Regions from separate parts of the Mus musculus genome. Here all the other regions are reported to be linked to region 4. Evidence: microRNA targets listed by miRTarBase, many of them from high-throughput screens and not tested one by one. Region 4 holds a microRNA gene; each other region holds the end of a gene's coding sequence.

Region 1 (4,066 bases), not on the chromosome of region 4:
CACCTGGGCATTTGGTTGTATGCCTCTGTCCATCACCTTCTCTGCCCAGCAGGGTTTTGGTCATGGGTGGATCCATTAGTCTGGAGTTTGGTTGTTGGTGAGCCCAGGCCCATCCTTCCTTCCTTTTCCTCTAACAGGATTTTGCCAATACCATTCCCGGTCATGGAGGCATCATGGATCGCTTTGACTGCCAGTACCTGATGGCCACCTTTGTCAATGTGTACATCGCCAGCTTTATCAGGTGCGGAACTACTCCACCGGATCCAGATATTCCACCGGATCCAGCTGAGTGGGCTTTGAAAGCATGAGTGTTTACAAATCCTCTGAGGTCTCTCTCCCTCCACTAATAGTGAATCCAGGGCTCATAGCACCCCATGGGTAACTGGGCCAGCGAGGCAGCTGGCCCCTGCTCAGGGGTGCCTTATGTTCTGTTGTAGGGGTCCAAACCCAAGCAAACTGATCCAGCAGTTTCTGACGTTGCGGCCAGATCAGCAGCTTCACATCTTCAACACGCTCAAGTCTCACCTAACTGACAAGGGGATTCTGACATCTGCCTTGGAAGATGAGTAGAGTCCACCTGGGGCCCAGAGAGCTGGAGCAGGATGGAGTGGGGGCCAGTCGCCAAGGCCGCCCAGCTGCTGTGACTTAGATAATGAAAAGCTTCAACTCACCACCGTCATTTTTTTTTCTTTTTCCTTTTTGTGCGTGTGTGGTTTTTAATCTGTATATACTGTCTGTTTATAGTGTGGGCAGTGAGTAAGCTGTAGCTTTGAGTTGCAAAGAAGTCACAGGAAAGAACCATTTGGGTTTCTGAAGTACAAGTATTGAGCAACATGAAGGGCAGTGTTGCCCAGCTCAGGGTGTCTGCTTGGTGGCTCTAACCCCTGCCCATCCAGTTGTTTCTGGGCTGTGCGAGAGATCATACATTGATCTGTGTGTGATGAGTTGAGGGCTTTCCCACCTGCACGGGCCTTCACGGGCTCCACGCTTTTGCTGTCCTTGACACCTCTCGTTGGGGCTTCTGCAGGCATCTCTGTCTGAGAGCAGTGGGGGCTGCCCTCTGTAGAGCTGTGAGAGCAGTGGGGGCTGCCCTCTGTAGAGCTGTGAGAGCAGTGGGGGGCTGCCCTCTGTAGAGCTGTGAGAGCAGTGGGGGGCTGCCCTCTGTAGAGCTGTGAGAGCAGTGGGGGCTGCCCTCTGTAGAGCTGTGAGAGCAGTGGGGGCTGCCCTCTGTAGAGCTGTGAGAGCAGTGGGGGCTGCCCTCTGTAGAGCTGTGAGGGAGAGGCTTTCTGATCAGATGAACATCTGTCCAAGCCAAAATTCTGCAGAGGGCAGGTGAGCTTTGCTTATGTAGTTTGCTTTCACCATATAGACTGAGAGAAGATTTCAGACTTCTTTTTCTCAGAAAGCATGAAGAATTTATGAAGTATGGAAAAGAAGCCCTTACATATTCCAGATGTGTGCAGCAGGGGGCACTGTCCCAGCCCTCTCTGCCCCAGCCAGGCACAGTGGCCTCTAGAGGGTGGTCCTGTAGACCGCACCTTTTAGAGTCGAGGCCTCTGTGGTTGTGCCGCGGGTTTGCTGCTGTGCTGAGTCCTTCTGGGGGAGCCCTAAGAGGTGGGGAGCAGAGGACTTTTGCTCAGACACCCTTTGCCTGGAAGCCCACTTGTGTTGCTGCTGTGTTGTGTATATAGTATTCTCGAGATGAGCGTATGTGTGTCTGTTTAAAAGTCACCTTGTTTCCTACATGATTTTAGTCATACCCAAACGTCCTCAGAATCCCTACATCCTGCTTAGAACTGTGGCCGGCCTAATCTGTCAAGAGGCTTGGCTCTTCAAGACTCAGTGTCCACTTTATCAAATGTGACCGGTGTAGCTGTAGTTTGTACTTTCCTGGGGACCTTCTGCTGGGGTTTGTGTAAGCTGTGATTCTTTCCCTTCCTAATAGGTTGAGCTTGACATGGAAAGGAGCAGTTGGCAGGGAAGGAACTTATTCCCCAAGAGTGGTAACTAACCCACAGCCCTGCTCGGTGTGCCCACCGCTGAGAGGCTGCAGTGACTTCCCCAAGTACCGTGGTCTGTGCTAATTTGTTTTCAGATTAGTCTTCCTGTGGCCTCCAACACTCAGCCAGCCCTCAGAGTGTCCGCTGTGCGCACGGGGGCGGGGCGGGGCGGGCAGCTCCTTGTCTCTCAGCTTTGACTGACTTGTCCGCATTGGGGATTTTTGTTCTCAGCTCCCAGGCCGCACTGAACACAGTGTTGCTGCCTTCAGTTTGGTTCTGGCCATGAGGCCCCTAGTGGGAGCTTTGCCCTTAGGGCTGTCCTCTGACTTGCCCTCAAAGTTCACCAATTCGGCAACTCCATGGAGACGGTCGTGTCACTCTCAGCCCCTGTTGCTATTAAGTCATGTCATGGGCACCCGGAAAAGGAAATACACTGAGGTGTATTTTACAATTGCTCCTTAAGATTCTCAGTGGAGATTAGGAGCAACACTGCACTTCTGATAGAAAAATGGCCTTGGATCACTAAACTAGGTAGAGAAGGGCACACCACACCCCAGCGCCCCAGGAGCCAAAACTCACGCTCGGGCAGCAGCAGCTGAGGCTTGAGGAAGCTGGTGTCCTAAGACACTGAAACCCAGTGCTCATTGGAGCTGCCAGCCACAGGTTTCTATTCTGAGTTCTCCAGTCTTGTGAAAGAGGAGAATTTCCCAGTCAGGTAGCCAGGAGAACAGTGCCACCCTGCGATTGTGCCACCCTGTGATTGTATAGCGTGTTGTTTGTTCCAGTAAGCAGGCAGGCCCAGAGACTGCTTTCTCAGCACCGCACAGATCTCAGTGGGTCACATAACTTGCTTTACACTCATCTTGTTGTGTCAGAAATAAAGTGTTCGTGCTTTTCCTTGTCAGGAGTCCCGTGTTTGTCACTTGTTGTGTGGTTTTATGTTTCCCGCTGTGTGAGCATAAACACTGTGCAGTTTTCCTGCTTGCCAGCCTGTGTGCCATCTGTTCTCACAGCCTCTGAGATGTCTCAGGTGAGAGCCATGGGGTGGAACCATAAAGTCCCCATCTCAAAGTGTGCCTGTGGGACAGGGTTAGTAGCTACTCCCCGAGGCCCCAACCCGGGAAATACTGCAGTGTTCCTTCCTGCAGGCCTTGGAGCCCTGACCAGGCCAGTCCTGGGCACTGCTTAGATGGCTGTTAGCTTAGAACTGGTGAAGTAAAGATTTGGTCCCAGAAACCAGCCTGACATGAGAACAAGCCAGGGTGTCTTCCTGGTGAGTTCTACTCATGGTCGTTCTCAGGAAAACTGTGTTCCCTTTGTGTGTACGTTTCTCACCCCTTAACCACTTCAGTGTCAAAAAAGTTCCCATTGTGTCTTCTGAAAGTGAAGTCCCATAAGGAAGTTGGGAGAGAATGTGCAGGGTGCACACACGCATGTACAAACACACACACACACACACACACACACACACACACACACACACAGAGCCTATTTCACATTCTCAGACTTTTAGTTTCTGCTTTATAACCGCATTTAAAATGTATTCTTAATGTGCTGTAGTGTGTGTGAGCCGGTGTCCAGAGGTGTGAAATATACCATGTAATCTCACACAGGTGGACTGTGGAACCGTTTTTATGGATTTTGCCCCTGCTTGCTTTCATCCTGTAACCTAGCCTGTATTATACAAGAAAACTTGAGCAGGACATTTCAAGAGAATATGTTGGCCTAATTGTTGGGTTGGCTGGGACCTGCTCTGAAGGGATCCCTCAGTTCACCGATTGGCAAGCCAAGGTCAGTCCTTGCTGTTGATGGAGCTGGGAGGAGGAGGGACCTAAGGACTCAGGACAGAGCATCTCACGCGAAGTTCTGTGTGGCAGTCAAGTGTTCCTCGTGGAGTCAGCCTGAGGTAGATTTCCAGGAAAGCCTTTTCCTCGTTACCAGTGTGTGATGTCACAACTGAAACTTGTGTTAGTAACGTCTAAGGCCATGTTGCCTTTGTCTTTAGAGTAATTCCTGGCTGTGCCTACCACTCCTGCATACTGTGCTTATGTGCGTGCTGCGCTTTG
Region 2 (4,066 bases), not on the chromosome of region 4:
GCTTCTTGAGGAACTGTCTCCTGAAGGGAGACCAAGGAGTACAAATTTCTTCTTGGGGGCGGGGTCTGGAAAAGAGGAAGGATTAGGTCAGTTTTCCAACTCTAAGACATACTGTAGAAGCAGAAAGTCAGAGAAACCCGGGAGAATAAACCATGGGGAGATAGGACTCAACTCCTCAGGGGAAAGAAATCTGCCTGTGGAGGTCATGTGTGTACCCTGTCTGTAAGCAAGAATACAGGGGTTGGCTGGGGGGATCACTCCATTTAGAAAAGATCCATAAAAGGGCCAGAAAGGGTGGCAGATGCCTGGGATGTTCTAGAGGTGGGTGGGAAGGACCCTCCGTAATCCACTCCTGATCTGCTCCTCTTTCTTCCACAGAGAATCAAATACCTGATAACCCCCAGGGAGCCCAACCGCTGGGCTGTGGAGCGTGAAGGGGCCACACCCTTTCACTCCCGAGTAACCCTCATGAACGGCGCACTCATGAAACCCAGTCACGTCATTGTGGAGACCATGATGTGAGGTCCGGGCCATGTGACAGGCGCCGCTTTCCTGCTGTTTACTAACGTTAGATTCTCATAGGACCAGGTTTACAGAGCTTTATATTTGTACTAGGATTTTTTTTTTTAATTGTCACAGAAAATGTTACTCTATGTGTGTGTGTATGTGTATCGTGTATGTCTGTATATGTGTGTTTTGTTTTGTTTGGGGGATATTTTGTACAAAAAGAAAACCCATAGGCCTACGTCCTGGGGAAGAGGATGGACTTTCATATTGATTTCCATGTATTTTGTGGGAACTTGGTAAATTTTTCTTTGTATTTTTTTTAACATATAACTATATATACTTAGAGTCTGTCATACACTTTGCCACTTGAATTGGTCTTGCCAGCAATGGATCTCGTTTTTCAAAAGCAATTCTTCGGTGCTTATATAGCTGGCAGAAAGTTCTGCCCAAAAACAAATGAAAAAAGAGAAAAAAAAAAAAAACCTGAATGCTGGGTGGAATTTTCCTATGATAGTGGATACATCTTCAAGAACGGTGTAGTCCCTTCTGAGCTGGTTCAGGAGGAAGAACACAGCTGAGGAGAGGGAGCCCCCCCCCCCCACTAGCTGAACAGACCTGAGGGGCAGGAGAGAGCAGGGCTATGGACCCTCAGCCAACAAGAAAGATGCCAAAATACTGGCCCACCCTCAGCATGAATGATAGATCTCAGAGCAGCTGAAGCGGTTGTACCAGGGCCAAACGCCTGCCCTCTTACTTGGAAGAAGACATGGGTGGTAGTCAGTGGGACTGGCTGAACCACCATGGGTATTACAGGCAGGGATGGGACGTCTGAATGTCTGGTGAGGATGTGGCTCAGGTCTGGGAGCCTGCCTCTGCAGGCGTAGGCCGAATCCCTGTCCTTTCTTGAACACTCAGTATGGCTGCCCGAAGCCAGGCCACAGGAGCTGCTGGGGCTTCAGAGTGGGGGTCACACTCAGGAAGTGTCTGCGGTATTTGAGTGGAGTCATGGTGGGTGGTGACCAGAGTATTCCCCAAGCAGAATGTATTTTGGTGAGGGCCCGGGGTGAGGGAGGCCAGTGGACCAAATGATATTAGCAGCTCAGGAGGGTGAGTGTACCCCAGGCTGGCAAGTGTACCCCAGGAGGGCACTATTCTTCCTTGCCTCTTGACAAACTCTTGTGAAAGTTACCACCCCAGAACCATCCAGCAGCTCCCAGCAAGGAGTGCTCCAAGTGGCTGTAGACCCTGGATCTTAAAGGATCTGAGTTCCAGTACAGAGCCAGCTTGGTAGTGACCTCAGATGATTTCCAAGCCACTGCATTGGCTGTTGGACAGGCGTTTGCCCCCAGGGGACGGCAGAGGGAAGGCGAAGGGAAGTTTCGGTCAGTTGAAGCTATCTCCACAGAAGTGAGGTCAGTACTCCAGAGCTGCCCAATGTCAGCTTCTGAACCAGGAGAGGGCACTACACCTTCACCCCAGCCTCCACTGGGCCCAACTGTGCCATCCTGAACTTCTTTGACAAATGTACACATTTTTTCCTGTCTCCAAAGCAATGTACTCTGCCAAGTGACCCTCTAATCCTCTTCCAGTGGCTGTTGACTCAGCCACCCATGATTGTACTGTGTTCCTGTTGTCCTGTGTATTTCTGGTTGCTCTCGTGTTATTTTGAGTGTTTGGAGTTCTCCTTCCCCGATTTTACCGACTTGTAATGTACCCTGGTTTTCTTTCGTTCAACGGAACCTTAAAAGTAACCACTGTGGGTGACTGAAAGACAGGTGAAGTGTAAGGGAGAGGGGGGCTCGTCCAGCTGTGGCAGTGTCTGTGGTCATGCCCGTCTACCCTACCCCTAACCCCCACCGGGCACGCCCCTCTGGCGAGCCTTCAGTATTTTGGGTTGGCAGACAAATGGCACCATTCTGGAAATGGCCTGAGAAAGGCTTTTTTTAATCATTCCCAGATCGAATTCTAGACCAAAGACACAGCGGGCCAAGTCCCCAGGCCCTGCCTGGATTTGGAAGGCCAGCCGCCTCCCGAGCCCACTCCCCAGCAGTGTCCCCTCACCTGTCTTCAGTGGCCCCCACTCTCACCCCGCCCCTGCCCCTGATGACCCTTATTGTGATGCTTGTCTTTTCACGTCTGCATGTAAGTAACATTTTGAAGTAGAGCTCGTGACTCTGGTCCGCCTGCCTCCTGGAGAGAGGGCTAAGCTGTTCACCAACCAGCCCTTGCCTGGAACAGGCCAGATCCTGTCCTGCCTGTCAGATGGAGACAGGAAGCAAGGGACATTGCCTGGTTTAGATGAGGACATTAGGTGGGCCCAGGAGACCCTGGGAGATGTTATTTGGTCCTAAGAGTGATGTGACCTCCCAAATGGAGGGTCCCTGCTGGGCACTGTGGGCAGCCCCAGAGGGCCCTGATCCAAGGCACTTATGTAATCAGGAGAATAGGCCTAGTGTGGGGACTTACACTGTGAGCTAAGTGGAACTGGACATTTGAGTCATTTGTAGCTTCAGGTTCTCCAAGACTTAGTAGAGGGAAGGCAGGTCCAGGGCATTGTCTAAGTAAACTGTCAAGCCTTCCCTGTCAACCAAAGGCCAGAGCTGATGAGGGCCCTTGCTCCATATTCATGGAACACAGAGCAATACCCACGTGTGCCAGTCCTTACCGCCCTGCTCACCCCGGCCCCGTGCCACCCTTCCTTCCTTCCTTTCTCCTCCAAAGCCTTTGGGAACTAGGAATTGATACACCCTCCCCTCAAGTTGTACCACAGGAAACTGAGGGCCAAAGACATCACTAGTGTGAAGAGCCTTAGCTAGGGTGTATGGGCAGGCCTTTGACCTCCATGTAGCCCAAGGCTATGCAGGAAGTAGCCTGAGAGGGTTTCTTTTCCCTCTCTGCCTCTGGCCTCCAGTCCTCACCTCAGCTCCATACCCTACCATGGAAAGCCACGCAGACCATGGCAGCGCATGAGGAGAAAGCAGCACTCGCCCCCTCTGCACAGGAAGGGGCTTTCTCTATCACAGTGTGTCACCACCATGGCCGACAGCATTCCAGTCCTGCCTCTCGGGACGGGGCAATGCTCTAGCAACCAGTCTAACAGGTGCCAGCCCAGTTCCTCTCTCCAAGATGCAGACACAAGCCAGGAAGGCACCTTAGAGAAGGCCCCTCACAGTCCCACTCAAACCTGAGACCCCTGTCCCTATGGACACTGTAAATACCTCTGTGTGCACACCCCTTCCTTCATCAAGCCCCAAACCACACACACAACAAAACCCAGATACTCCAAGATGGAGAGGGGCATCCCGGAAGCCAGAGCAGTGCTCCCTCCTCCCCTCCTCCATCTGATCGCCTAGGAGTCAGACCTTCACAGGAAACTGGCTGTCCATGCTCTCTGGGAGGGAGGAGTGGTGTCATTGTCATTACAGGCATGTTCTGGCATGTTCCCTGAAGGACAGAGCATCTTATTATATATTTGGCTTCAAAATGAGATGGTAGTTCCATTTTCTTTTTTTAAAAACAATTAATCTTTCCAATCCCTAACAACTGTGACTGTATTTAG
Region 3 (4,066 bases), not on the chromosome of region 4:
TTTAAAAGAAGGAAGGAAATTAAACTCAACATGTGCTCTAAGGATGTAAACAAAAGCCACCTACAAAGAAACCTGCTCCCTCTAGTTACCAAGGCTCTGAAATGCCACTCACAATAGCTTACTGCTAGCACCCCATTTCCTGGGTGTCTCAGAAGAGCGCTGCAAACAGAAGAATCCACAGCAGACGGATCCTCAACCTCACACGCCTCCTCCCTGTGCTCCCACAACACTCTCTACACACTAGATCATCCCTGATGCTCAGATCCCTGGAGCAGACAGTGCTAGCAGTCAAGGTTAACTTCAAAATGGTTATTTTTGCCTATAAACCTCTAATATTCAATTTTGTTAAATGTGATTTGGAGAATTATGTTTTCAGTCTATTTTGAGCCAAAAATGATTCTATACCTCTGAAACACTGCAACAAATTATCCCACTAATCAAGGTAACCAGAACCATGTTAACTGCCAAGCTCTTTCCAGGTTAAAAATGCATGTTTTCTTCATGATCACTAATCAGGAAACCTATTCTCAACAGTTATTCAAAAGTGTACTTGGCACCTGTACAATAAGGCAAGCAATTCTACGTTACCCATCACCTACCCCAATCCCTCTCTGAGTGCTTATTCCTCTCCCACTTTGGTGTAAGCAGGCCTCAAACTTGAGAAATTGCCAAGGATGACTCTCGCCGTCTGACCTCTTGCCTCCCTCGCCCAGTTCTGGGACTGTAGACATGTACTATCACATCCTGTCTATAAGACGTTTAAATATTGTTTTTTGCAGTCCTGGGGATTGAACCCAGGACCTCATAAAAAGACATACAAGGGACTACAGTACAAGACATCCTGGACTATATAGTCTCTGTGGTCCATGTTGCCCTAGAGTACATCTCACTGTATTGCCTAGAAGTCTCATCTGAGACCCCCAGTGATCCTCTGAGTGGGGATTACAGGCACGAGGCACAATGCTCAGGTGTCTAATTTTTGTGGTTTTTGAGACAGGTTCACACAATGTAGTTCAGGCTGGCCTTGCACTCATGTCAACCCTCCTCCTATAGCTCTTGACTGCTAACAGGCATGAGTACCGTGCCCAGCTATACAAACACAAACACACACTTCATGCTAGAGAGACCTGCCCCAACCCTTCCTCAAAAGCCTAGCACTGAAAATGTTTCAAGTGTCTGAGCAAGGGGAATGTGGAGTAAGGGAGAGGGGAGGTCAGCAATGGGCCTGGGGTGGCTCCTTGCTGTGGCAGTGATACCTGCTCCCTTTGTCACCTGAGCACTACAGGGCACAGACTCCATGGCCACACTAACAGAAGCAGCAATGCACTCACACTAAATCAACAGGGGCAAACCTCCCCAGCCTGGTCAGTCTGCCACACTGCTTTGTGTTTGACAGAGTGCTCAGTGCTACAGAAAGCACCAGTGTCCCACATGACACAGAAAATTTGGCCAAATTTTATATAATTTAAAGAGTTTTAGGCTTGACTTTATATAAATAGATGTTTGGATGAAAGATGTTGTTACAATGACAAATAAAAATTAATTTAAAAACTTTTGAAAGTGATCCTCCTGCTTGCAGGTTTATAAAGTCCAGCCAATATATAGTTTCCATCTCAAGACCAGAGACTCAGAGCCCAGAAGCCTCTCTCTGGAAGCACAGCCTGGAGGGTGCTGCTCTGCACATAGCTTCTACCCATCAGCAGCACAGCTTCTCTCCTGAGTTTAAGTCTGCTGTCAACGGTTTTCTTCCCTGCACTTCTGCCCTCCTCTCGCTGTGTACATACAGTGTCAAAGGACGAACCCAGGGCTTCCTTGCAAGCTAAGCACCACGTTCTACCACTGAACTATGTCCTCAGGGAGTCCTTGTTAGGGTCTGAGTAATCCTGCTAGGCTGGAACTGACCCTGTGGGCCAGGCTAGTTAGAATCCCAAGGACCTGCTTGCCTCTGCTCCCCAAGTGCAGGGATGAGAGCCCGTCACTGCTCCATCTGGTCATTTCCGGGTTTTTGCTGTTATTTTGAGAAAGATCTCACTGAAGCCAAAGCTGATCTTTAACTTACAGTGGTCTTCCGTCTCACCTCCCAAGTGCTGGGATTATAGGCTGTGCCACTATGCCTATTTTTTTTTTTATACTGTATCTAAGCAATGGACACAATTTATCAGGTATTCCTAAGTCAGCCCTTCTTTGCTAATTTTTCTCTATTTTTGAGGCAGTGTCTCTGTATAGCCCTGGCTATACCAGAACTCTTTGTAGACTAGGCTGGCCTCAAACTTAGAGATCCTCCTGCCTCTACCTCCTGAGTGCTACAATTAGAGGTGCACACCATGACACTTGATTTTTCTCTTGCACTAAGATCCCACACTGTAGCCTAGGCTGACCTGTAACTCACAATGGAGTTCAAGCTGGCTTTAAACTCGTAATCTTTCTGTTTCAGGTTCCCAAAGTGTGAACCACTGCATTCAACTAGTTTAATTTTTTTGTTATTAATTTAAAACTCTTTCATTGATATGTATATATAAATGTATGTGTGTGGATATACACACATGCCAGAAAAGGGCATGATCCCTGGGAGCTGGATGGACATGTAATTGTGAGCAGCTTGACTCGGGTGCTAGGAATGGAACCCAGGTTCTCTGGAAGAGCAAGCACCACTTCTCCACCCCAGCTGTGCTCTGCTATATGTGAAGACAGGGTCCCACTGTGTAGCCTTGCCTGGCCTGGAACTTGGTACGTAGACCACATGGCCTTGAACTCAACAGAGATCTGCCTGTGTCTACTTCCCGAGTGCTGGAACTCAAGGCATGTGTCACCACATCTGGCCCTCTTTTATTGAAGGACTCTCTTTAGCTCAGGCTGACCTCAAATAACTTCCTGTTGCAGCTTCCTGAGTGCTGACATCACAGGTGTGTACTACCACGCCTGGCTTAGGGACTTCTTTTCAGTAGGTTAACTAGGGAGAACTTGTGTGCCTGCTCTTTACAACTGTATGCTATCCTTTACTTTTCCTCAAGAGGAGGCTTCCTACAACTGCATCAATCTCATAAATCTAAGGCATATTTTCAGGCCACTTGAAAAATTTCAGGTGTAACTATTAAAGGCTCTTGGTGTATATGTATTACAAGTACTATCTTAAAATCTTTCGATATAAAGCTAACTATTAAAAAAGAAATTCAACCTACAATGCCCAGTACTCTGTTTAAAGCAACGATATGAGCTGAGAGATTTGGTCCTGGTCCTTTGGTCCCTCAGATGCCCCTAAAGTGGCTCTGAGTTTTCCAGCTGCACACACAGCCTTCCTAGGCTCAGGCCTTGAGCCCGGCTATTGTTACCCTCTTAAGGACATTCTAATTTGTATGCAGTACCTGCAGTCTATACTTTCTTCTTACAAAGAATATGATGAGTGAGCACAAGTTGTAGCCGTTGGTGTTAGGATGAAATAGTTTCTATGGAAACGTTAGTGTGAGGCTCCGTGGTCCTTCCTGACTTCATGACTTGTGTTGCTCTTTCTACCTCGTCCCCTTCTGTCACCACTACAGCATCCACTTCAGCTACTTCCTCAACTACGGTGACATCAACTTCAACTCCGTTGGTCTGCTGCTGAGCCATAGCCTCCAGCCTGAGCCGATACTGCTCGGCCTCCTGCTCTTTCTTGAGGAGCTGGTGTCTGTACTCCTGGGCTCTTCGGTTGGCCTCCTGGAGCTGTTGCTGCAGTAGCTCTCTTTCACTGCCTTCCTGTAAAGCAATCAGCGGCAACACAGTAAGAATCCCGAGTATGAACTTCCCAGATGAAGACGGAAAAATGAAGAGGGCGTCAGCCCTAACCACCATGGTGTCCATGCCCTCCTCCTCCTCTGCTCACCATGGTGTCCATGCCTTCCTCCTCCTCTGCTCACTGGTAAGCATTCATTACCTTCATTTCCTCAACCCTGTTTGTCATCTCTGCCATCCTTGGTCTCTTCACCAATGGCAATTTCTCTTCTTCCTCTTCTTCATCTTCAATTATTGTCTCCTCTGCAACCTGACCAGCAGGCACAGTTAGAACTACAAGCCAAAGCACATCAATGGG
Region 4 (4,063 bases):
TGGCAGGTGGTATTGAAAACAGGCCATCTGTGTTATATTCGTCATTAATAAAGCGAACTCATCACAGACAACCTCTCCTCAAGTACCCAGTGTTGACCGCAGCAACCCTGGAGCTGGAATCACCACCTGAAGCTGTCCTGGGGGGAAGGGGGGGATTGCATATAAATGGTGAGTAGGGTTGACACAGGCAGCACACAGCCTGTTCCACCCAGCCCAGTTCCCCGCGGAGGCAGCAACCTAGAAGCACCATGCTGTCCCCACCCCCACAGGGGCTGCAACTCCAAGAGCTTCTCCAAGCTGAGCGTTGATACTGAGAAAAGATCAACCATGTATTATTCGAAGTCAGCCAAGCGAATATAACACGGTCGATCTCCCTTCAAGTACCAGCAGAGGTGTTGAGCTGAGGCTGTGACATCCTGGGCGCAGGCTGCAGCGGGCACCGACGGCTAGTGGACCAGGTGAAGTACATTAGAAACAATTACTTTCCAGCTGGTCGACCATCCGTCCCATACCCCAGAGCGAGATGAGTCCATGGTCTTCCCTGAGGTGGCCTCCCTGGAGGGATTTGATACCGAAAAGGGGTTCACCGAGCAACATTCGTCCTCCAGATGCAAAGTTGCTCGGGTAACCTCTCTCCGAGTACCACGGAGAGGCTCGGATGCTCAGAACGAGGCCGATGGCTGAGTTTCCAGAAGAACCATCCTGGAGCCCCTCAGAGATTATAACTCCCCATTCAGTGAGGAGCCACCCTCCACCACGTGAAAGCAATTATTCCATCACCTCCCCAGTGCAATCTACCACCCTTTCACCTTCCAAGAATATCTAAAGCCTTCCCAGACAACCTTGAGACCCAGGTAGCGAGGAGCTGACTCGGGGCAGAAGTGGGTGCAGAACTCTGCTTACTCTATCTCTCCTTTGTAAGCTGGAGATAGGGAGATGCTGAGACCCTGCGCATATACCACACCACCCTCCCAGAGACGATGCCTTCCAGAAGCGAGGAGGCAATGACTGCATCATCCAGAGATGCTCCTCCTTGGGCCCACCCAACCACTGCAGCCCCACGACCCTGGCATCCCCGCCCTGTCACCTGCCCCCTCCCCCCACGGTGATGTCATAGCAAGAACTGCTTGACCATCCAGTCCTATAAACCAAGCAAGTAATGCTTCAAAGATAAACATGGAGGGAGGAGAGAAAGAACAGCGGAAGGAGATCCCGCAGGGTCCCCTTGTGCCAGTGTGTATGGCTGCCCCGCACGAGCACGCCAGGGAGGGCTCTCCAGTAAGGGTCAGGATCCATTGACTTAGGCCATAAGCAGAGTATGGATTCTGTGTTCGCCACTCATTTTAAAACTCTTGGAGTGTGACCAACATCAGAATCCCTTCTCTGATTTTGGCAAGAGTTCACACAGGCTTCTAGCCTTGCTGCAGGGCAGCAAGAGACTGGTCACATGCAGTGTGTCATACGGGGAAAAGACGCCACGGGCAGCTTCATGTAGGTGTTCTGGAAACTGACCTGTGGGACAGAGGCTCTTTCCCCAGCTGGCATCACCTCCTGGAAATGCTCCTAAGAGGCACACAATGGCGATGATGGTGGCTAACGGTAGCTACAAGATCCAGTCAACAGTATGGGGAGGGAAGCTTGTCCAGGTTCTTCCTCCAAGCACTTGTCCTGGAGAGAGCTCCAGCCACTGACCAGTTCCAAGACAATGATGTAGCCTCTGGAGTCCTTTGAGGTAAAGATCCTTTTGGAAAGAGAGCCACCATGAAACCTGGTGCTCATCACACCCCAGATAGTATATTAGACCCTGGATACATCCACTCTAAAATGACCTCCCGTACGGGCCTAGCCCTTCAGCACCAACAATGGGTACGTCTTTAAGCCTAGCCCTGGGAGCTGGCAACATGGAAACCCAAGGAAGGGCAGGCCCTAGAATGTTCCAGGTACCAACTGCTCGGCAAGAGCAGACTCCCCAGAACCAGTGTCTTACCCGGAATGTTTCATGAGGATCGAGGAAAGTGAAGAAGACTGCTCAGTGGGCACGTGCTCTGGCACTGGTACCCAGTCACATCCTCCAGGTGACACCCGCCAGCTTCTGAATACTCCATGAAGCTCTCTGTAAAGGTTTGGGATGGGAAAATAAAGTTTAGCCACATTAAAAAAAAAAACCCACATGGTGACCAGTCCTTCTTATCACCCCACTAGCTCTAGTCTATATCCATAGATTTCCCCATCTCAAACACCACACCCACATTGATTTTCATAAAAAAACATGCATTTCTTTCCTTTTTTTTTTTTTAAAGTAAATTCCATTAAACTAATCCAATTCCCTGTTTAGCTTCCTTGACTGTGCTGTTGGGCCATTTTCATTTCTTTTATTTCCCTTGTTATTTCCTCAAATCATTTTCATTAGGATCAATTCTTTCCCATTTAAAAATCTGAACGAAGATTTGATTCCTCAATGTGCGTTCATCTACCACAAATATTACTGCTCATAGCATCCGCCACTACTGAAGCTGCCCCTTGCGGCTGCCATGTCTACAGAGTACTGTTTCCCCAGGTCAAATGTCGCAGCTCAAATGTTGTCAAGAAAATTGGATTCTTCTGCCAATTTGTAGTCAATTGAACACATTTTCCTCCAAGCTATTCTGGTAGTTTGTGGTGTTATTTTGTGATTATTTTATCACTATTATTTAATGTAAACGGGATGAAATGCTGGTCGCCTCTATTCATTTCCTAACCCATCCAAAAATGGAGAACAAGGTTTGGTGAGCGATGAGGACGAAAGAGAAACAGACAGAGGTGTGTTGAGGGGGTGGGGTGGGAGGGGGGAAAAACAGATGGTATGTGAGCACTCCTGACCCAGTGAGTTGAGGAGAGGAAGGGGGTGGGGAGGGAAGGCTGCCATTGTCCTTGACACTGTCAAAGGACAGAGTTCATTTTGTCAAGGTATCTTCAGAGTAGAGATAGAACAGCGAGTGTGTCTGCAACTAGGGGGGCTAGGTGCTGGTGTGACAAAGAGGATTCAGGCTGAGAAGAGTCAGGGAGTAGATATTGGCATCTCTCCATTGGTTCCTGGGACTACATGTCTGGTCACGTGGCGTTCTGAGCCACACCCCTTCCTGACCATCCCCATATCCACACCTTCCATTCTAGCACATGACATTTGCAGAGACCCCAGAACTTTGTAACGTGTCCCCAATGCCACCCCAAGCAGGCTTTGATACTCAAACAAAAGTTGCCTTTGTGTGATTCAACATCAATAAAGCGAATTCACCAAGGGCAACCTCTGCTCAAGAATCAAACGTCAGCACAGGCCGAGAGTTGAGCAGGGCGCCTCTTCCCCAGGCAGCCCTGCCTCCCTCGGCTCTGGCTCCCTGACTCCCACCCTCTAGGGAGGCTGGCATTACCTCCGATGAGCCCCCAGGTCCAACTGCAAAGCAGACTAGCAATGGACTGACTTGCAGAGTTCTCTCCTGCCTACAGGTGGCCAGAGACTTGTACAGACATCCAGGCTTTGGCCAGAAACTGGTCACTCACCCAGAAGCACACGGACACCAAGTCTGAATCCCAAAGTGTTTCTCCTAGAGAAGTCCTGAGGTAGGTTTGACATAGAAGAAACCATGACTCTCTGTGTAGTAGGGTCCATCCTGCCCACCAATGAAGGCTGACCTAAAAGAGGATAACTCCCTTTCCAAGGCAGTATCCTGAGAGACCGCACAGACAAACCAGCAGCATCAGGGTACAAGGTGTCTGCACCGTCCTCTATTCTCTCTGGCTTCTGAGAGGCCTCAAAGAGGGTTCAACAAAGAAAACATGTCCAACTGCCATTCACTCAGCATCATTCGTCCTGTGTGCACCTACGAGCATTAGATGGGGTTTCTGAGCTCAAGGAACCTGTGTTCTAGAGGGTGGGAAGAGATCCACAGAGTAAGGACATTCATGCAACAACTATCATTATAAAAGCCAATGGTTTTCCAACTTTCTGGGGGAAACCAGGCACTCTCAAAATACTGAACACACATTCAGCGTGAATACATACCTTATAAGCAGCCATTAACACTCT
Region 5 (4,058 bases), not on the chromosome of region 4:
ACGGCCTTACCGCAGCAAGCGCCTCCACTTGATGCAGCAAGATGGGCTTATTGCAGAAGTCCACCAATGGCTTCGGAGTGCTCAACGTCAGCGGCCGCAACCGTGTCCCATACCCTCCCACCAAGATCAGTGCCTTCATGGCGTCTGCAGATGTTAGAAGTGGATCTATCGGTCCAAAGTACTTACAGGCCGCCTGACCGACCCCTGCCGCGCACTCCCAACGCCGTGCCCTGACCTGCACGTTTCACCAACTAGACTGACCAACTCTGGTGTCACCTCGCCCCCCTGCTCTACCCTGATGTGGGGTCCAGGATCAGCCAGAACAGAAGACGAGGAACTGGTTGGAGACCGGCTGGTCCGGAGTTCCGGCCGGAGGCGGCGCAGCCAGTGACGTAACAGGGAGAGCCAATCTACGTGGCAGGGCCGCCCGCAGCCGAGCGTCAGACTTTACGCTGCGGCGGACGTAGCCAATTAGATTTCCAACGCCCTGGGCTGCCATGGGGACCCGGAGAACTCGCGAGTCAGATGCCCATTGGCGGATCTAAAGGCGGAACCGAAAGAGGAGGCTTAGCTTCCTATCGGAACCCAGTCCGCCACGCGGCAGCTGCCATCTGCCCCGCCCCGCCCCGCCCCGCCCCGCCGACGCCGCCTACCCCCCCAAAGGCCACTCCAGGTTCGCCCTGATGACCCCGCCCCTCAACACTTGCTCTGACCCCTATATCCAACCCCTCCCGTGCTGCCTCCCCCGACCCCCCACCCCCAGTGTCAGCACTGTCCCGCTGCACCTGTCCCGACCCAGCTCAGCCCGATCCCTAGACTAGCCATGTCGGCCCAACCGGAGGCGATGAAGTTTTCACACAGACTTGGACAGAGTTCAGTTTCTAGAGGCTTTATTTTGACGTATACGACCAGACACAAGCGGGCGGATAGCGCTGGGTGTACAGAAAAGGGCCGGCTTGGGCCAAGCACTCCTCTCCACCACACAGAAGACCTGGGGAAAATGCAAGCGCGCCTAAGCGCCAGTGGAGCCACGTATGCATCCAGGCGCAGGTCTTAGGGTGTGTAGCTTCCAGGAAAGAGGAGCAGATAACAATTTCCAGAATTCCAAGTCTTACATTTCCTCCACAGAAGCAAAGGAAATTTCCCCAGGTTCTCCTTTTTCCTCGTTAAAATGTAGTTTTTAAAATGAGCACACACACACAACCAACTTATATAGCTGTAAAGTTCAAAGCAGTTTGCATCTAGGGAACGTGCACGTGGCCAGATGTGAGCGAATGAGCAGCGGATACTGAACGGATACTGTCCGAGCCCAGGTCCCTTGCCCCTAGGAGAGAATGAATCCCCACACCACTGCACGGCCCACAGCTGAGAGGGGTAGAATCCCAGGCAAGGACATTGCTCTACTGGTCCCTTCCTCTTCCAGCAGCACCCATCCCATTTCACTCCCACCCATCTCCCCGGGCTGGTATGGGCTTGGCCCGGGAAATACAATGGAAAGGGGTAATGTGAGCTCCCAACCCATGATCCCTAGTTGCACTTTGGTCCCAAATTGATGATTGGGAAGGCAGGACCTGTCAGGAAAAAGACAGGGCTCTAGCCTGGGACAGGCAGAAGAGCAGTGGTAAAAGTGTTCGCACACACTTGCCACCACCTATCAGATAACAGAGCTGGGCCTCCAGATATCAAAAGTGCTGAAAAGTGAGGCCCTGCCCTTGAGCAGCGGCAAATCCCAGCCTTTCCTCGCTTGCAGTGGCAGGAGCAGTGCCTACCAACTCCCTTGCTACTTGAGAAGCAGCAGAATGGGGGCAGCACCTCCCAAAATCTGGTAAATCGGAAGTACAGCACATTCCTAGGAGGTCTCTGCTGGCCCCAAACTCCTCTCTTGACCTCTATCCTGCCAAAGAAAAGGTGTCCACGCTAATTAACACTTGCTGCCTGCATGGCACAAGCAACACTACTACTGGACAGAAGACAGGTGTTAGTAAGCAGAGATGGGCCAAGCCGTGCCTCCCGGCCCTAAGGAATGGGAACCTGCCCACCAATGGCACCAGGGTCAGAAGACTGACTTGGATCCGTCACAGAACCCTTTTCAGAGGCTGCATCTCTAAGAACCTGGAAATTATGCCATTCGTTAACAGTTTCTCTCAAAGGTTGGCAGGATTACCTTCAAATGCCAAAACAGAGACATGTTAGAAGTGATAGACTTGGAGACTGTTGCTCACCTTGGCAATGATTGGTGTAGTGTAACCTGTCGGACACTATGTTACAGGCAGCAGCAGGTCTCTACCATGAAAGGACTGGTAGCAGAAATAAAAGCAATAGGTCAGGGTCAACCCTGAGCCTTCATTACCCACCGTTGGTGCTGAAGGCCATACCCCAGGCCCACAAGAAGGCCACTGGGCTAGCAGGTAAACACCACTATGAATCATTTGGCCACCAGGTTTGTAACAGCAGAACCTGCTGAGGAGGGGCACAGGAGCAGACTCACCTCAGAAAAGGAAAGGAGAAGACTGCTGGGGGAAGCATGAAGGAAATCAATATATACTAACCAACAAGGCTATACTCCAGAAAGCTCACCATGAGACAGGGGCTAGCAGGTGGACAAATGGACTTACTGACAAACCCCAGGATTAATCAAAGCTCTCAGCAGACGCTGGGCACCTGTGCCCAGGGCCCTATGTCCCTAAAAGCAAACAAGTTTAAAGTTCTCCCTCCAGGCCTAGAGCCTGGAGCACCACATACAGGGCTGCTGCCTTGAGCTTGGCCTGGAGAAGACAAGACCCTGAGCGGACCACGGTTCCTGAGCCCTGGGAGCAGCAGCCCACCCACAAGCAGCACAGCTGCCCCAGGTGAGGAAGGGATGCCACCCAGAGCCCAGAACTGCAAATACTGTCTGGGCCAGAGCCACTAAAGTCCCGCCCTTAGGCCTCCTGGGACACTGGCTCTCCTCAGCAAACAGCTGTGCCCATCTTAGTGGGATAGGAGGCTATGAGGCCTCCTTAGGTCAGGGATCCCAGCAAGAGGCTGGCTCGAGTTGTGGAGAGAGGAACAGGGTTACATGCCAGTGGGTGCCTAGGGAGCCCAGGGCCTGCCCTCTGCTGAGTTGGCCTTAGCTCAGTTTCACCGATCTAGCCCCATGCCAAAATCAGACCCAAGGGTGAGTCCGTCTGTGCAGCTAGCCCTCTAATGCCCTGAGGCATCTGTTACAGCACTGGCACGAAACTAAGATGGCCCTCAGGACGTGGGCACTTAACCTTCCCCAGTTCTGGGAAATAAGGGATGATTGGGCATGGAGACCGTGTGCCAGCCGAGGGCTTCACCTCACCATCAGCAGAGCCCCACAGCCACAGATCCCAAACGCCTTAGGCAAGGGAGACCAAAGTTCAAGGCATTCATTCTCTTTGCTGTCAAGCCCACTGGGGCCACCTCTTCCTTCCTGAGACAGCCTGGACACAGCAGTCACAGCCACAGAGCTAAGGAGCCTGGCTGAGAGGACAAATGTTCTGCCCTCCTCTACTTTATATATATGGATTCCAGGCTACAGCTAAAAACATTTCTTTTAGTTTACACCAAAGAGAAATATAACCCTTTAAAAGCAAGTCTGTGTGTCCTCACAGCAAGTTCAGAGCAATGGTCCCTGCCTGTGGGTGGAGAGGAGGGGGGTCCTAGGCCCAGCACAGGGCCTACTGGTTCTCATCCCGCATCTGCTCCATGATGCTGATAAGATTCTCCAAGCCAAACACATAGCCTCTGTCTGGCCCATCGTGAACAGTGGGGTCATCCCGGAAGCCCTTGAATGTGCTGTGTGCAAAGTCAATCATGCGAACATCCACCTTGGGCGGAGAAGAGGGGCCAGCCTCAAGACTGGTGCTGCTAGGACTGGTGCTGGGGCCACAGGGTGGTGGCACCTCAGGGAGCCCCATGTCCACGTGCTTGAGACGTAGCTCAGACCGGCACTCCTTGCCATCATAGATGACAAGCAGGGAGCTGGAGTAGAAGCGGTAGGAGGCCTGCCGCTCCAGTACGGCTTTGAGGCCCCGCAGTTTGCTCAGGATTGG
Region 6 (4,066 bases), not on the chromosome of region 4:
CTGAAATATTCAACAATATTCCAGGTGTCAAAAATCACAGTATTTCTCATCTAACCTATCAGGGTGCTGGCTTTGTGTATAACCATTTCTCAAGTTCAGATGCAAAAACGAACCAAATCTGTGAGCCCCAGCAGCCTAGGGCTCCAGATATGCATGCCCCTACACCTACACCATCAACACATGCTCCTTTGGCTGCTTTGAAACTGCCAAGCCCATGCAAATCCAAAAGTCTGGGGGACTTAACATCAGAGGACATTGCCTGCAATTTTGAAAGCAAATATCAATGTATTAGTAGGAGCTTTGTGACAAACGGCATTAGGGACAAGAGCGTGACTATGAAGACAAAGTCATTAGAGCCTTTAGACGCCCTGACTGAACAGCTCCGGAAGCTGGTGTCCTTTGACCAAGAAGACAGCTGTCAAGTGCTCTACTCAAAGCAGGATGTCAATCAGTGTCCCAGGGCATTAGTCAGAAAGTTGTCGTCTAGAAGTCAGAGCAGAGTGCGCAACATTGCTAGCCGTGCCAAGGAGAAGCAGGAAGCTGGCAAGCAAAAAGCTATGGCCCAGAGCACCAGAGGAGGAGTGGTCCTTAGAAGTAAACCGCCCGCTCCTGCTCTGGCCGTGAACCGTCACTCCACGGGCTCATACATTGCAAGCTACCTGAGGAACATGAAAGCTGGTGGCCTAGAGGGTCGAGGCATCCCAGAGGGAGCGTGCACGGCCCTTCGCTATGGCTACATGGACCAGTTTTGTTCAGATAATTCAGTTCTGCAGACTGAGCCAAGCAGCGAAGATAAACCCGAAATTTATTTTCTTTTGAGGCTTTGAATTATATAAAGTTGCATTTTCATTGTTTACATGATACTCTAGAAGATGTTAGATTTTTTTCCATTGTCAGGAAATATGATACTGGGCTTTGAAATGATTTCCAAATGTATTTTTAAACTTGTATTTTGGTCTCCCTTTGCCTCATGCATTTGTATATAGATTCTGTGGCCTTTCCCAGGAATCCATGATCTTTCCCCCAAGGTGTTGTAAACTATGTTAGTATGAAATGTGTGCATGCCCTTATGTGAAACTTCTCAGCAGCTTGGGTCATAGAGTGCATATGTTGCACACAAAAAAATGTGTTTCCCCATGTCCTCCGATCACAGTCCCAGAGGCTGTCACCGTTACTCACTAAGTGTTGAGCTCATTAAGATTAAACTTTGAAAACCATAAAGGGATGGATTCTTTATGTGAAGTTACATTTTCCTTCTGAATTGAGAGACTCAGATTCAGTTTTATAATCCATTTAAAAGAGATGTTTTAAGTGGTTACATTGCCCTTTATGATTTCCACATGCCACCCAAAGTAGGAATTCCATGAAGATGGATAGCAGCTCACCAACCCCAAGTCCCTTTTAGAATGGACTATGAGGAAGAAAGCGAACTTCTGTATATAAGGGCAAATTAGTTTGTTTTGCATGAAATTTTGTTACATATTTTTGCTAATGGCCTTGTATGTAACAAGAATCCAGTTGCCAAGCTATCTGTCATTCTTTTGGATGATGTAATATTATAGATTGAAAATAATGGCTTTCCGAATGAGAGACGTTCAGCTGGGGATGGTGGTTCCCGACTTTAATCCCAGTAGAAGCAGATGAGTTTGAGGCCAGCCTGATCTACATAGTAAGCTCCAGGCCAATCAAAGCTATGTACTCAGTCCCTGTCTTAAAACAGCAACAACGAAAAGATAGTGAGAGACTTACATTAAACTTAAAACCCAAAGTAGGACAAACAGACACTTCCCCAAAGCAATCAAGAAAAAAAGTATTTTCTCATAATCCAAGTGAATAGATAATTAAAAGAAGCCTTTTCCCTTTAGGGAACCAAGTAACTCTATTTTAGTACCGACATATATTATTTTCATTGTGGATCCATTTTTTATTGCATGTTCAGATGTCATTTGCTTTTTGTACCATGAATTACAATGATGTTCTTCCTGGACCTCATAAAAATATAATTAAAGCAGATTTTTGAACACTTGATGATTTTGTTTATAAAACAAAAACAAAGCCACAGCTGGAGTGTGTGTGATAACTGTTGAATGGGGGACCAGGATATGTCCTCCTTTCTATGTGTTTGTAGCAAAAGTGGGGTCTTTTATTGTCAGGGATGGTTTTATGCAGCAGTTTATGTGTCTGAAATTTTTCATTATGTTGAATAATATACTCATTTTTTGTTTTAAATATATATTAAAGTATTGTATATACTTTATATATATGTACATATACATGCACATACATATTTTGCTTATATGTATGTATAGCATGTATGTGCCTAGTGCCTGAAGTGGTCAGAAGAGGGCCGAGGATCTTTTGGAACTAGAATTACACAGTTTTGCTGCTCTATGTGGGTTTTGGGAGCAGAACCTGGGTGGTCTGCAAGAGCAACAAGGGCTCTTAACCACTGAAGCTTCTATCCAGTGACATCGTTATATTGAAGATCCTGTATATTTGTAAGGTCCTTAAACAGATATCAAATGGAATTGTTTTTCTGCACTTAGTATGGATTTGCAAGTTTAAAAATAATTCTTGTCAACTAGTCCAGTGGCAGAGATTGTAATAGGTGGCTATGGAGGAACAAACATGGGGAAAGTTCAGGAGATGCTTTGCTTGTCTTGTGTGTGTGTGTGTGTGTGTGTGTGTGTGTGTGTGTGTGTCTGTCTGTCTGTCTGTCTGTCTGTCTGTCTGTCATGGGGAGAGAAGCCATTAGGCCGTCAGTCCCTGCTCCATTCAGTCCCAACTCTTAGCTTTTCTCTCATGCTAGGAGTCATCATTCATAAACCTAGAAATTTGTTGGAAGAAGAAATATCAAGGGGAAAGGGACCAAAACTCATTTCAATTCTCTTAATGAGCTTGAAGCATTTCTTCTGTCTTGTGGCCTTTGAACCTCTAATGTTCTCTCTTGTGACCTTAGTTCATCTGTTACCATTTTTATTTTAGAAACCATTGATCTAACACAGAGATTTAGAAACTACATGGCTATGAAGAGAATTTAGCTGTGTTTTATGATTTAAGCACTCTTTACTCTAAAAGTTAAAATAGGAAAGAAAAATCATGTATCCATTCATAAGATGAATGTTTGCAGACAGGAGCTAGGTAGTACAGGGGTTCTTTCAGTGTCCATGTTTTTGGCCATATACATACTACAATCTTCCAAGAGACAGATCACAGGAAAAGAAGAGAAACCAGTTTCACGATAGTCATTTGAGAGTTCTGTATTAACCAAGAGGAGGCAATAAAGCTTCGTTTTAATAAAAAGCATCTGATGTTCAGATCCTGCTCATTGAGATTTCTCTTGTTCAGAGGACAGATGCGGGCCTGAGTCAGTCCCAAGGAAACCAAACAAGAGACGTCTCTATCAAGATGCTAGCAGGCTTTGCAGTGCTGACTGTGTGAGGAGCTGCTAGTTTCTGCAACTCTGACTTGCGACAAGCCCTGTGGAGTTTTGGTTTCCTTGAGGCTTTTTCCTTAGAGGCTGCACTGATGTTCCAAGTCTAAGCAATGAGGTGGCTGGAAGAGTTTAACGGTAAAGACAAACACAGAGGACAGAAGCAATGGTGCTTAATGTGAATCTCATCAAGGAACTTTCCCACTTAAAATCCTTTATATGAACAAAGTAAGGTCCTATAACTTTGCATAGAACTTTGACTCATTCTTCTAAAATTATCAAGCCTCCCATGTACTTCAGAACCTTAGATTCCACTGTATTATGTTGGCATATTCACACTTCTGTTTCCTCCATTAGCCATAGGCAGTGACCATGCCTTGTGCCCTTTTCCCAGCCTAGGACCCAGCATGTATGTACAGTCAGTAAATTGGTGAATGAGAAGCTTAAGTAAAATGGGAAAGAAAATAGCACGCCTGATATCTGCCGATTGTATTCTCATAAGACCTTGTTCCAAGTGGTTCCATGTGGTTACAACCATTGATCTTTCTACATGTTAGTTACTTTTCCTGTTCCTATCCAGCCCAGCTTTCTAATCCCGTTTTAATTTAGCGACTACTTAGTTGCTTGTGGTCA
Region 7 (4,066 bases), not on the chromosome of region 4:
CCCTGGAATAAGGACTGAAAGCCAGTCCCTTTTTCCAAGAGACCCAGAAGGGCGTTCAAACGGAAGACAGAAGCCCACCCTTCTTAAGGACTCTGAGAATCCACACTGTCCAGAGGCAAAAGAATCCATTCCCCATCCTTCAATCCTGAGCTCACGCTACCCACGCCTTTAAAATAAGCCTCTGTGACATTTGTGACTCTATAGCGCCCCCTGGCGTCATTCTGGGTTAGCTGAAAGAGCAGGCGAAAGGGCCACTACGTGGGAGATTAGGACCTGCCTGGTTCTAACTGTCTCATAAACTGACACACTCTAAAGGAGGCAGCCAACAGGGGTTGATGAATGTAAGATCCCAGTTTCTGAATTGGCACAGTCACGTACAAGCCTCTAAGTTTTGTGCCTCAGTTTCTTATTTGTGAGGTCGGCATAATACCGGGTCATGTAGACAAGCCCAGTTGCTGTGTGGAAGGAGCAACACGTTTGCCAGCCCAGGCTCTCAGCTGAGGTGAACTGCCCTTCAGTTTTTCTTTATCTCAAGGTGGCCATGCCCCATGACACATGTAAACCTGGCCCTGACTCAGGCGGTGTTGGTAAGGTGCCTCTGACAGTTCTGGAACATTTCCACTGCAGCCGAGAACCATTTTAATAAGCCTATAATAATAGGCACAGAGGTGACTCAGATCTGCAACCGAGGAGTCCTGCCAGGGAGGAGGGGACACAGAGCTCTTGGGAGAGGGAAATTCAGTGGCACCTGGGTCTGAGTGGTGGCAGGCTGGGACTGCAGAGAGGACTCCATCAGGGGCCCAGGGGTTTTAGGCACACTCCCCTAAGAGGCCTCCCTAGATATCTCCCCGCACTATCTGGGAAGTACAAGGTGAGACCACATGATCTCCAGTCTCTTCCACGGGTAAAGCTGTGCCCCTGTATTCTCAGCTCTGCCACCCACTGTAAGGATGCTATCGGGTTTGCTATTGGGGCATGCCCATGTGGCTTCAGGTGGCATCCCCATGTGAGCTCTCTGGTGAACAGAGCAACTCAGCCACTCCATCCACTTCTCAGGCTCAGAGACACTGCTGCGATTGCCCTGCGTATGCCCCGAACCCAAAGCTCAGGTCAAAACTCAACGTCCATGGTGATGGGTTCAGGAGGCTTTGCCTTCCTTAAGGGTGGGGCCTTGTGAATGAGACTAGTGCCCTTACGAAAGAAGCTGGGTGCTTGGGGGTGGGGGTGGAGGTGGGGGGAGGGTAGGCTGAGATGTGGCTCAGCAGAGTGCTTGTCTAGTATGCAAAAATCCCTGGGTTCAGTCTCAGCTTCTTATAAACCAGATGTGGCGGCACATGCCTGGAACCCCAGCACTGTGGGGGCAGAAAAAGTACAAGTGCATCTCACATAGGGAGTTGGACACTAACTTGGTTAGAAACCCTATCTTTTAAAAAGAGGGCCTGCTGGAGAGATGGCTCAGCATTTAAGGTCACTGGGTCCTAAGGACCCAGGTTCAAATCCCAGCACTTACATGGTGGTTTACAGTCCTCAGGCCCTTCTTTTGGCCAGGTACCAGGCATGGACACAGTATACTGACGTGTCCATAAAATGAAAAACGAAATTTAAGGCTAGGGAAACCCCTTCCATCCTAGTGGGGGTGTAGGGCACACAGAAATGAGGCAAAGATGGCTGTCTATGATCAGAAAGCAGGATCTTCCAGGACATCACATCTGAAGACACCTAGGTTTTAGAATTCTCAGTTTCTAGAATGGTGAGAGTTTGCAGGTCTGTGACATTTCATTGTAGCCGCCTAAATGGACCAAGACAGACGGAGCCCTTGGGCCATTGTGGTTTATTGATGCTCATGGCAAGCACAGCACAGAAGGGTGTGCCCCACCCAGGGACAGAAGACAAGGCAGCAGGCCACGACCACAACAATGCTGTCAGCAGAGGGGAAGGGCCTTGGGTGGGTGGGTGGGGGGTGTCAAATCCTCTTCTCTACATAGTTCCCAGGATCCCAGATCTCTTGGCCCATCCCATGAGGTACCTGACTGTCTACCAGCACTGTCTCTGGTAGCCAGCCATTCACCGGTCCCTCAGAGGTGTGGCCCTGTGGGTCTGCCAGCTCCTCTGTCCTTCACAGAAGTCCAGCTGCCTGTGTATCATCTCTGTCACCTCGGAAAATGTTACTATGACAATCCCTCCCTCTAATCTGTCTCTACCTGCTTGTCTTGTCTCAGGGAGTCCACCCTCCCCGCCCTCCTGATCCAGACAACAGCAAGAACAAGATGAAAACACAGGGAGCTGGGGGGGAGGCGGGGAATTCATCAGGAACTCCCCAGGGGATTAGCCCAGAGAGCAAGGGATGGTGTGATAGAGAGCCAAAGATCTGGCTCACATGGCACAGAACAGTCATGACTCTCAGGCAGAGCGGGTGGGTGAGCGGGTGAGCGAGCAAAGTGCACAGCTGGGCAGGGTGCCAGGGCCCTGTGGGTCACACTCAGTTCTCTCGCTCTGTCAGACCCATCAAGACATGAGGTTACCCGCTTCAGGCTGAGGAACAGGTCTCAGGGGTCTCCTTCCCCCTCCTCGACCCCAGCAGCTGTTTTGTGCCTACCTGGGTGCTCTCTGAGCGAGAGAGATTTGCTGAGGAATGTATAGAAGAAAGGAAAATCTCAAGAAACCAGAGCGAGCCCTCCAAACTAGAAAACGAGAGAGGGTACTTTTCCAGAGAGTGGGAGGGCATCTCAAGTGGGTCAACGACAGTGACAGGAGGGATGGACGGTTCTCCCATGCGGGAATTGGGCTCTGGGGGGATCAGGGGCAGCCAGGGCAAGACAGCAGTGCAGGAGGTTATTTATAGAGAGAGGAGCCTGGCACTGGCACGGAGGAGGCAAAGCCCTCAGGCCCAGCTGAGTGAGAAGGGGGCTGTCTGGGGTAGCCCTGAGTGGGGTGGGTGGGGCTAGGAAGGAGGTACCCCACAGCTTTCTGCATCTATATGGAGGCCAGGCTATACATGGGCATTGGCCCGAGAGGCAGGGAGGACTCTGGGAGATGCCCGAGGACTCAGGGAGGCCTGCTTGAGGTCAAAAACCAGAAGAGGGAAACAGGAAAGGAGGTTATCACCTGCTGAGAAGCCCCCCCATCTCCAGGTCCACCAGGCCCGGACTGTGCCATGCTAAGACCTTCCGTTGTCTCCAACGTAGGGAGGAGGGGGTAGTGGACAAAGTGGAGGGAGCAGGGAGAGGGGAGAGAAAGCCAGGTCCCCAAACCTAAGCCACACATCACGTCCCACCCTCCTGCCCTCCGGCTCCCCAGGAGTCCCTAGCGGCCCACGCTGATGTTGCAGGTCTTGCAGCTGGGATCTTTCTTGGCGTCAGCAGTGGACAGGCTCATGAGCTGGTGCCCGCTGATCTCTCCCAGGGTGCCCAGGGACAGGTCGACAGGCTCGGTGTAGATGATCTCCAAGATGAGGTCCTGAGCGTGGCGGAAGATCAGCTCTCCATCCTCCACACTGCAGGTCAGGAACTTGTTGCAGGCAATGTCCAGGAGGGGCAGCCGGTCACGACAGAAGCGGTCCCCCAGGGAGCCTTTGGGTGCCAGCACCAAGATGGCATAGTGGTAGGCTGTGTACATACAGTAGAAGTCCGCAAAGTAGAGGTTGGTGCTGGGGTTGAAGAGGCGCTGGGCAGGGATCTGGAAGCGCCAGCGGCCGTAAGGGGAGTCCTGCGGGGGCTGGCCTGTGTTGAACTCCGTGTTGCAGCTGAAGAAGACCCCGTGCAGCATGCCGCTGGTGGGGGAGCCGTGGCTACCGCTGTTGTCCTTCAGGTAAGGCTGCAGTACGTTCCCACAGTGGGTCCTGCCCAGCAGGGAGGAATGCCAAAGAGAGGGGGAAATGCCACGGGTTAGCACTCTGAAGTTAAGAAGAGAGTGAGCCAGCCCAACTCCCAGCATTCCTGCTAGCTTGCAGCCTCCACTACTTGCAGACATTGAGTCCTTCCGTGCTGTCTCCCTGACTAGAATCTGAGGATGAAAGTAGTCTCTGCCTTAGTCTGTGTGCAGCCACCTAATAGGGAGCCTGACACGG

What was found. The annotated mature microRNA mmu-miR-541-5p reads AAGGGAUUCUGAUGUUGGUCACACU and lies in region 4 at 1,357-1,381, opposite strand. An mRNA with a match to its seed (bases 2 to 7 or 8) in the 3' UTR can be bound and repressed. Matches are read on the target gene's strand: a 7mer-m8 pairs with bases 2 to 8, a 7mer-A1 pairs with bases 2 to 7 and ends in A, and an 8mer does both.
Region 1: miRTarBase lists Cds2 as a target of mmu-miR-541-5p. Seed matches in the 3' UTR shown: 8mer at 1,775-1,782.
Region 2: the mRNA of Slc6a6 is a reported target of mmu-miR-541-5p. Seed matches in the 3' UTR shown: 7mer-m8 at 1,396-1,402 and 8mer at 4,039-4,046.
Region 3: miRTarBase lists Gabpb2 as a target of mmu-miR-541-5p. The part of its 3' UTR that is shown has no 7-base or 8-base seed match.
Region 5: miRTarBase lists Ip6k1 as a target of mmu-miR-541-5p. The part of its 3' UTR that is shown has no 7-base or 8-base seed match.
Region 6: miRTarBase lists Plch1 as a target of mmu-miR-541-5p. The part of its 3' UTR that is shown has no 7-base or 8-base seed match.
Region 7: miRTarBase lists Phyhip as a target of mmu-miR-541-5p. The part of its 3' UTR that is shown has no 7-base or 8-base seed match.

Annotation. Positions count from the first base shown.
Region 1 is chr2:132,304,716-132,308,781 of GRCm38, forward strand. Cds2 (CDP-diacylglycerol synthase (phosphatidate cytidylyltransferase) 2) reads left to right here. Exons shown (of 13, transcript NM_138651.7): 12 at 138-241; 13 at 438-4,066. The coding sequence ends at 570. Among named protein-coding and RNA genes, the nearest start is that of Gm46766, 43 kb to the left of the region's middle.
Region 2 is chr6:91,754,536-91,758,601 of GRCm38, forward strand. Slc6a6 (solute carrier family 6 (neurotransmitter transporter, taurine), member 6) reads left to right here. Exons shown (of 15, transcript NM_009320.4): 15 at 379-4,066. The coding sequence ends at 522. Among named protein-coding and RNA genes, the nearest start is that of Gm44981, 35 kb to the left of the region's middle.
Region 3 is chr3:95,185,244-95,189,309 of GRCm38, forward strand. It overlaps Gabpb2 (GA repeat binding protein, beta 2), which reads right to left. Exons shown (of 10, transcript NM_029885.1): 9 at 3,911-4,041; 10 at 1-3,732. The coding sequence ends at 3,427. Among named protein-coding and RNA genes, the nearest start is that of Sema6c, 23 kb to the left of the region's middle.
Region 4 is chr12:109,739,740-109,743,802 of GRCm38, reverse strand. It overlaps Mir541 (microRNA 541), which reads right to left and starts at 1,394; the gene lies at 1,305-1,394. It overlaps Mirg (miRNA containing gene), which reads right to left. Exons shown (of 8, transcript NR_028265.1): 3 at 1,988-2,113; 4 at 1,513-1,741; 5 at 385-446; 6 at 1-137. It overlaps Mir377 (microRNA 377), which reads right to left and starts at 3,293; the gene lies at 3,226-3,293. It overlaps Mir409 (microRNA 409), which reads right to left and starts at 645; the gene lies at 567-645. It also overlaps Mir412, Mir369 and Mir410.
Region 5 is chr9:108,045,598-108,049,655 of GRCm38, reverse strand. Ip6k1 (inositol hexaphosphate kinase 1) reads right to left here. Exons shown (of 6, transcript NM_013785.2): 6 at 874-4,058. The coding sequence ends at 3,684. It overlaps Gmppb (GDP-mannose pyrophosphorylase B), which reads right to left and starts at 392. Exons shown (of 9, transcript NM_177910.4): 1 at 11-392. The coding sequence starts at 139.
Region 6 is chr3:63,694,194-63,698,259 of GRCm38, reverse strand. Plch1 (phospholipase C, eta 1) reads left to right here. Exons shown (of 24, transcript NM_001370984.1): 24 at 1-2,026. The coding sequence ends at 827. Among named protein-coding and RNA genes, the nearest start is that of Plch1, 200 kb to the left of the region's middle.
Region 7 is chr14:70,466,573-70,470,638 of GRCm38, reverse strand. It overlaps Phyhip (phytanoyl-CoA hydroxylase interacting protein), which reads right to left. Exons shown (of 5, transcript NM_145981.3): 5 at 1,815-3,838. The coding sequence ends at 3,304. Among named protein-coding and RNA genes, the nearest start is that of Phyhip, 11 kb to the right of the region's middle.